Linked DNA regions of Bombyx mori. The protein of the gene in region 1 interacts with the protein of each later gene in a pairwise test. Links are inferred from orthologs where the notes say so. Each region holds a gene or a part of one and is shown in the gene's direction. Other genes may lie near its edges.

Region 1 (3,935 bases):
ATTTACAATTATTTACTAATGACAAATTTTACTATTAATATACTTAGACATTTAGGATAATTGTATTTTAATTTTTGAAGGTTTCACTTCTAACACGTATGAATTGCACACATGTTATATTTTTTTTCTTACCTACGCTGATAGCCTTAACAAGTAGGTGAGCTCACGGGGCTCAAACCAGGAGTCTTGCTAAAACTGGCCCTAGTAAAAGCAATGCTTCGCAGAATCTACCACCGGATTGGAAACGCGACCCACTGAGAAGATCTGGCGAGAAAGTCATCAATGGGCTGTGTCTGTGAGTTAATTTACTTGCCGAGCCCTTCGTCGCAAGCGACGCCGACGGGTTCGACGAGAACGATAACTGGTGACTGGTACTTGGAGCACCTAAAACCACCGTTATTGAATCGGGAGGATCCGAAATGACGTGTTTAGAGCAACCCGAAACCAGAATTATACTGTATGAATAAATTATAGTGAAACTAAACGCATATTCGATTTTTTTTATCTTAATCAAAACTCTTTTTACTATTTAAATTGATGTCTTAGCCACGAAACCTGTAAAGTATATAAGAAAAGTCGCAAAATAAGCGTATAATAATGATCAAAAACGTAAGATTAAACCGTAAAAGCGGTTTTAATTAATTTTACAATTCGTGAAAATTGAAGTAAATACTGATGTTATGTTATAATGTTAATAGCCGACAAGCAAAATCGATTTTAGAGTCGACAGTTCATAGTGTTCACCAAATGTATGTTGAGATTCAAGCGAATGACACAATTTTACACCTCATGAACTTTAAATTAGTTGGAATTGTTTGATGTAACATTGACTATTAATGGGAACTCTGTTGAACTTAATCGATTTTGTTTTCGATTCAAAGCTGTATGGAATATTTATTGGTTACATTTCTGTTTTATACGTATTCACTCTAATAATAATAATTAATCACTTTGATTATCATTGTGTATTACAGAATTTTTTTTATTTAATTTCAAAATGTTTTAGTTCGAAAAATATTTTTTTACGAAATCGATTCTTCCGATTTGTCCGGCTGTAAATCTTGATCACTTCACTAGAAATCTAAAACATCAAAAATTGGAATAAAAAAGTGTAAACGATCTCTACTCTGTACTGTAACTATTGTTTTGAAACAATTTATCGGCGTTTATTACGTAAATAAATAAATAAATTACAGCAAGATGAGTTCGTACATGACAATCGAACTCCCATTAACATCTTTAAAACGGTAGAAAACGTTAATCAATCACAAAAATCGCGATGTAATCAGATTTATAAAACACTCAAAACAAAACAAATTTTAAATTAATTTCTAATATGTTACCAGTTTTGATGTACAATAACATGGAGGGCTGTTCGAATAACGTGAATGAGCATAATACTAATTACGGGCAAATATACGACGAGAATGTAATATTAAATAGTGTTAGAAGTAGAAAAAAAGTTAGTGAATTACCGAATTGTCCGGTGTGTAGTTGTACCGTGCGTCAAGGTGAATTGGAACATCATTTAGATTTGGAATTAGCTAGGCTCAACAAACTCACCGGCAGTGCTTCGAAAAGGAAATTAAGTGTAAATAGTGTTAGTAACAATGTTAATGCAGCTGTTCCCGGATCCAGTACAAACGTTGAACTTGATGAAGGTATCGATGTCACAGGGTGTCCCGGCAGCGATGTTTACCAGGTGAATAATATTGTTGTTACTTGTGGTTTCATTTGCGCGCTCAAGGAAAAGGCTTAGTGCAGTTTATCGTGAGGGCGAGACGTCTTTTCCGTATTAAAGGTAGCCTGTGTCGTTCTTTTGACCTAATACTTTTAAAAAGGTACACGTCAATAAAAAAGGCAAACAAACAGAACAGACCTTCGCATTTGTAATATTAATTTGGATACTTAGAAGTATAGGTTTTACATCTTGTTACCTTGTAACTTATCAATAATAATATATCAATGTTTTTTCACCTTTGTCCTTTGAAATATATGCTGCCAATTTCTTTTGATACTGTAGTCTTGTTTGGTTCAGTGTTTGAAATAGCATTTATTTGAAAACAACAAACATGCAAGTAAAATTAACAAAAAGTTCTTGATATGTATAGTATGCTTAATATTTGAAGAGATTAGATACAATAATATTTTTTACTGGTGTAGAACCTCATGTGGATCCGAGCCGTTAGATACCACCACCCTGCCTATTTCTGCCGTGAAGCAATAATGCGTTTCGGCTTGAAGGCAGCCATTGTAACTGTACTGAGACCTTAGAACTTATATCTCAAGGTGGGTGGTGCATTTATGTTGTAGATGTCTATAGGCTCTAGTAACCAATTAACACCAGGTGGGCTGTGAGCTAGTCCTTCCATCAAAGCAATAAAATAAATAAAAAACATGACAATAAAAAAAAAAAAACTGAGTAGCAAGTGGAATAAGTTTGATAGATCGACAGCCCACAGTTTGTTGTCTAAAACTTTTGTACGATTATGCAAGTTTATTTCAATTACTTGATTATTAAGAGATGTTTCAAAGAAATGGCAATTCTGTGCACTTCATACAACTCTTTAGGATAGTTATTTATTTAAACTTGTATTGTACACATTATCTGCACACATCACTTGAACAAGTGCAAGATATCTTGAAAGAATTGTTCTGAAGCTCCTCATTCAAAAGGTTGCTAAATGTCAATAATAAACTGAAATAAATCATAAACACACACACTCCTACTTCAGTTGAATATTGTTCTGGAGGTAAACACAGACAATATCTGTTATATTTACAATCGGTTAGCTATACAGATATAAGAGTGTAGAGAGTACATTCGCAAAGATGTCAAGGTTTTTTTTGAACATAAATAATACATACAAAATTCAACAACAACTTCATAGCTCTCCTGGGGCTAAATGGTTACATGAAAATCATGCCAGTCACCACATACCTGGGGAAATGAGCTTAAGTGAATTAATAACACACTAAAATGATGGGAATTTACGGTGATGTCAGTGAACTTTTTAGAAGACAGAAAAGCCATGTCCAGCGGTCATGTTTCATTATAGTACTAAAAGGATTGGCTCATTTGTTTGTTGTCTATTTCGTGTATGTATTTTAAGAAGGCATTGAAAAGAATCCTACTGCCAGTCTATTTTCGTCCATTTCCATTTTTTTTGAATCACACCTGTCAAGTCTTTCCTTAGTTTATGTTCAGTCATCGTATATTCTGTCGTAGGTTACACGCCACGACAAGTACAATTGTCCATTTTGACCGATACCAAACTGATATCAAGTTAATATTCCATCATTATTGTATGTTAAAACCTAAAGAATAACAAACAACCTCATCCGTCTTGAAAAGCTTTCCCATTTATAACATTAGTAGGATTTCAATATTTATCTGCAGCGAGTACACGCGAACCGCCTCCGCCGTCTCCGGGCTCGTCGGAGAAGCACTCCTCCCCCACAAAATGGAGAGTGTCCTGTTTGCAATACAACCTTACCAACCTCCAAACTACAGAGGCACGCCTTGAGGTGCCTCAAGAGAACAGGAGCAGAGATGGATGAAGACATACCTGATACCAGCTCGGAGGAGGGCAGCATCGACGTAGAAGTGAGTATAATTAATTACATCTTGGTTGCATCTTGGCTGCTTCAAGCAATCGTGTGCTTTGACGGGTATGATTTAAATATAACTTGAAATATCTTCACAGAATGACGAACCTTCAGCCAGCGGGTTTGGTGCTGAATACCAGTGGTGCGGTGAGTGGAGGGTCAGAGCGACGGCTCTGCAGGATGCGGATTCAAGGGCAGCCACATGTGTCCGTAGGGCTTCCAATGATCAAGCGCTGGTAAGTATATACAAAAAAAAAAGTTTCTTATCAAGCTAGACTTTTTTGAATATGTTATAGCCCGGTAGTGAGACCATTAAGCAAATTCTT
Region 2 (3,835 bases), on another chromosome or scaffold:
AGACCGAGGGAACTCGTTTTCCTCCCAGGCCAAGCGCGGCTGGAAACTTGTAGATGTATTAGCGAAGTAGCTCCCCTTGAATTGATAGGCCACGCGGAGGCGCTCGGACAGCACTAGTCGCACCCGCCGTACCCGCCCTGAGAAGATTAAGCCGGAGCGGATCCGGGCTACCATTTATCCCCCGAAAGAATAGAACAAAAATATCAATTCTTAGCTACTTACCAAAATGCTTTACTTCGTTGGTTGTTAATGTTTTTTTTGTGTTACTCTTGTAGGCAGACGAGCATACGGCCCACGTGATGGTGAGTGGCTACCGTCGCCCATGGACTTCAGCAATGCCAAGGGCAGAGCCAAGCCGCTGCCTACCGCTTAATACTCAAATGTCAAAGTAACATAACAAAGTGCTGATTTTAATATCTTGAAACTGTACCTTTAAATTTCAGGAACAAAACTATAACCCTGGAGAGACTAAAGCGCAGCATCATGACGGAGGTGCGCAGCGGTGATCAAGAGGGGCGTTGTCTAGCTCAGTACAAACGCGAGATGGAGCTGCTGCAGCAGGAGAAGATGAGCCATGTGGAGGAACTTCGACAGATACATGCCGATATTAATGCAGTAAGCTATCTATATATTAATACGTGAAGCAAAAACTTTCTACCATTTCTTACGAAAATTGCGCGGACGGAGGAGTATGAAATTTCCCACACTTATAGAGAATAATAATATAGAGAAGGAGTGCACAATGGTATTTTTTTTATTTTATATTATGCATTAAAAATACTTTAAATCAATAAAGAAAACATTACACACACTACCATGTATTTGACACACACACACACATATACTCTTTGTTTATTGTCAAACTTTTGTTATTGCTTAAAGTCTGTAGTCAAATTGAGAATAGGTTAATATTCTTTATTTTTAATATTACAAGTATTTGTCAATAGTGTAGTCTTGGCGAAATCTGCGACTATAGAAATATAATAGTCCAAACTTATAATATTAATTAATTATAGTCGAATTTCGACTACTGCGGGAACACTAGTTTTAATTAATATTAGGTCTTTACTTATGAAGTTGCTGTTTAGTTCATAGAAAGTTAAAGTAATTTTTTTTTATAAATCTATTAATTAAAATAAGCACCCCTGGTATTGATATATTTGTCAGCGCAGTGGTAAATTTTCAACGGCCTTCTTGAAGAAGTCAGGTACGGAACAAATAAACCGTTCAAAGGGCTTTTGTACTGCTTCTAGGGTACTAAATTTTTTCCTTGCTAAAAAATTGTCTATACTTTGGATAAAGTAGAAGTCTGTCGACGCAAGGTCTGGCAAGTAAGGCGGATGACGCAAACCTTTCAAACCTAGCTTTTGTAGCTTAGATAACGTCTGTTGTGGCATATGAGGTTCAGTGTTGTCGTGTAAGGGCAGCGGGGACTAGCGATTAACTAAGGCCAGCTGAAGATTCTCTAGCTTCTCCATCATTGTGTCCAGTTCTTCACAGTTCACATTGGCAGTAATGCTAGTGCTATTTGTTGAGCTGTGATGAAATATACTAGCACTCGACCAAATATTGATGTACAGTGTCGGGGACAGAATCTCCCACGAGATGCCCGTACGGAGGTGGCCACAATAAGCGACTCCGCTACATTCCTCGCGCGACATCCGCGCCCCGCAAGGACAGCACCCACCTTAGATTTAATTCGGAATGTGTTTACCTTGCCAAACTACAAACTGCAACTTAAGCCGCTTATAAACTAGCTCCCTGCGACTATACTGGGATAGCCGATAATCTCCATAAGAAAAAGAGGATTTGCGGAGTCATCATTCCTAAAAAAGAATACTTTGTCCGGATTCATACAAGAATATTATATGATTTTGCGGATTCAATGAATATGCGCTAAAAAAACCTGGTATTGAAAACATGCTAGTAAAGAACAGTTCTAGGGCTGCCACACTCAATAATGGCGATGTTATATTTTTTTTTAATCGTCATGAGGTTGTGGCTCTTGCCACCATACAAACTTATTTGACTATGGCCTGAATCTCGCTTACGACATTTTCAAGATAAACTTGCATATATATACAAGTTCCGAACAACAACATACTGACCGTCGGTCTACCGAGCAATATCACCCGCTCGGTGGAAGATCTTCCCTTTGTCGTATAACTACGCGGCGTGATCGCAGACCGGCTTAACATGAGGGCGGAAGGTCATGGATGTATTCAGAATGACTTCGAGATATGAATGGCCTTCCTAGAACAGGGTATTTGAATGGCACGAGAAGATGACCGGGGGCCGATGTGACAGGGACTCGCATAGTATCCTCACTTTAAAGGAGCACGGCCATGTTTCCCGCAGGGCTCACTTCGAATAAATATGCTTCAAAGAGCAGAGTCGCGTTTTGGTTTTATTTTTAAACCGGCGGCCCTATATAAGAGTTGTTGTTTGTTTACATTGTCTACAGTTAAACTTTACTGGCAGAGAACATTCGTATCATGTCGATTGTGTTTATTTGAACGCGCCCGTTGTTGCAGGCCGCGCACGCGACTAGCTCATTGTCGTTTTAAATAGAAATTATTGTTTTTTGTTCGGATTCTGTTCTATTGGCCTAAGGTTAGAATGAATCAGTTAATGACGCATTTATTGAAACTAGAAAGCAGTATGGTCTGAATTCGGTCACTTCAAATATATATATACGTGAAGCAAAAACTTTGTACACCTTATAGAAAATATAGAGAAGGAGTGCAGAACGCTAATATATTTTTTTAATTATGTATAAAAATACATTAAATCAGCTTGAAAAACATTACACACACTCCCATATATTTGAAACACACACGCATATATACTCTTTGTTTATTGTCAAACTTTTGTTATTGTTTAGTCTGTGGTCTATTTGAGAATAGATTGAAATTTTTTGTCGTTAATATTATTTGTTAATAGTGTAGCCATGGCGAAATCTGTGATTACAGAAGTTTTATAGTCTTTGACAATAAAACCATAATAATGTTTAAGCTTATAATTGAAATTAAATATGGTCGTATTTAGACCACTGGGCGAACGCTCGTACAAAATTAATGGGTTTTATTTTTAGAGTATCAACTATTTTCACATAATGATGTAATAAATAAAATTAATGTTCTTCAGTTGGAAATTCGCGTTTGATCGAGGCTTCTTTAGAAATAACACAAACGGTGTACAAGACATCACACACCACTTGTATTCTTGTGACGGTAAATATTTAACATTAAAACAACAAACATCATGGAATAAGGGTAATTGGATAAAATTTCATATTACATACGAGTTCCGAACGACAACATAAGGGCCGCCGGCGTCCGAGCAATATCCCTCTCTCTCCCTCTCTCTCTCCCTGTTTCTCTCTCTCCCTCTCTCCCTCTCCCTCTCCCTGCTTCTCTCTCTCCCTCTCTCCCTCTATGGAAGTATTTCTTCTCGTACCGCACCGCAGCCTCCACCACATTATTTTGAGTCACTATCCCTCTCGGACCAGCGTTGTAGTTGACTAAATACGTAATATATGTTAAATCTGTAAATATGTTTCTCAAATATAATCGTTTAAAGTATTCGGTGGAGGCGAAGAGGTCAATCAGAAGCTGTGTGTTATAGAAGGTGTACAGCGAATGTGTAAAAAGTCGCCTTCATCCGCTACTAAATCACCTATAACTTTGTTATTCCCGAACAGATCTCGTTTTGATTCGAATTAGTAAACGATGAACCAGCCTGTTAATGAAGCTGTCAATATTTGTGCGCCCCCGTGCGCGCCCAGGCTGCACAAATAGCTCAATTAATGTATCACTATCACAAGCAAATGATT

The links.
Region 2: the proteins of E3 ubiquitin-protein ligase Rnf220 (region 1) and zinc finger C4H2 domain-containing protein interact in a two-hybrid assay, tested with the Drosophila melanogaster proteins (2 studies listed by BioGRID). The link is inferred for Bombyx mori from reciprocal best matches to the Drosophila melanogaster genes RNF220 and CG13001.

Annotation. Positions count from the first base shown.
Region 1 is NC_085117.1:719,272-723,206, forward strand, and holds the start of E3 ubiquitin-protein ligase Rnf220, read left to right. Parts: upstream 1-1,076; 5' UTR 1,077-1,336; coding exon 1,337-1,702; intron 1,703-3,379; coding exon 3,380-3,607; intron 3,608-3,707; coding exon 3,708-3,845; intron 3,846-3,935.
Region 2 is NC_085129.1:15,695,725-15,699,559, reverse strand, and holds part of zinc finger C4H2 domain-containing protein, read left to right. Parts: intron 1-443; coding exon 444-615; intron 616-3,835.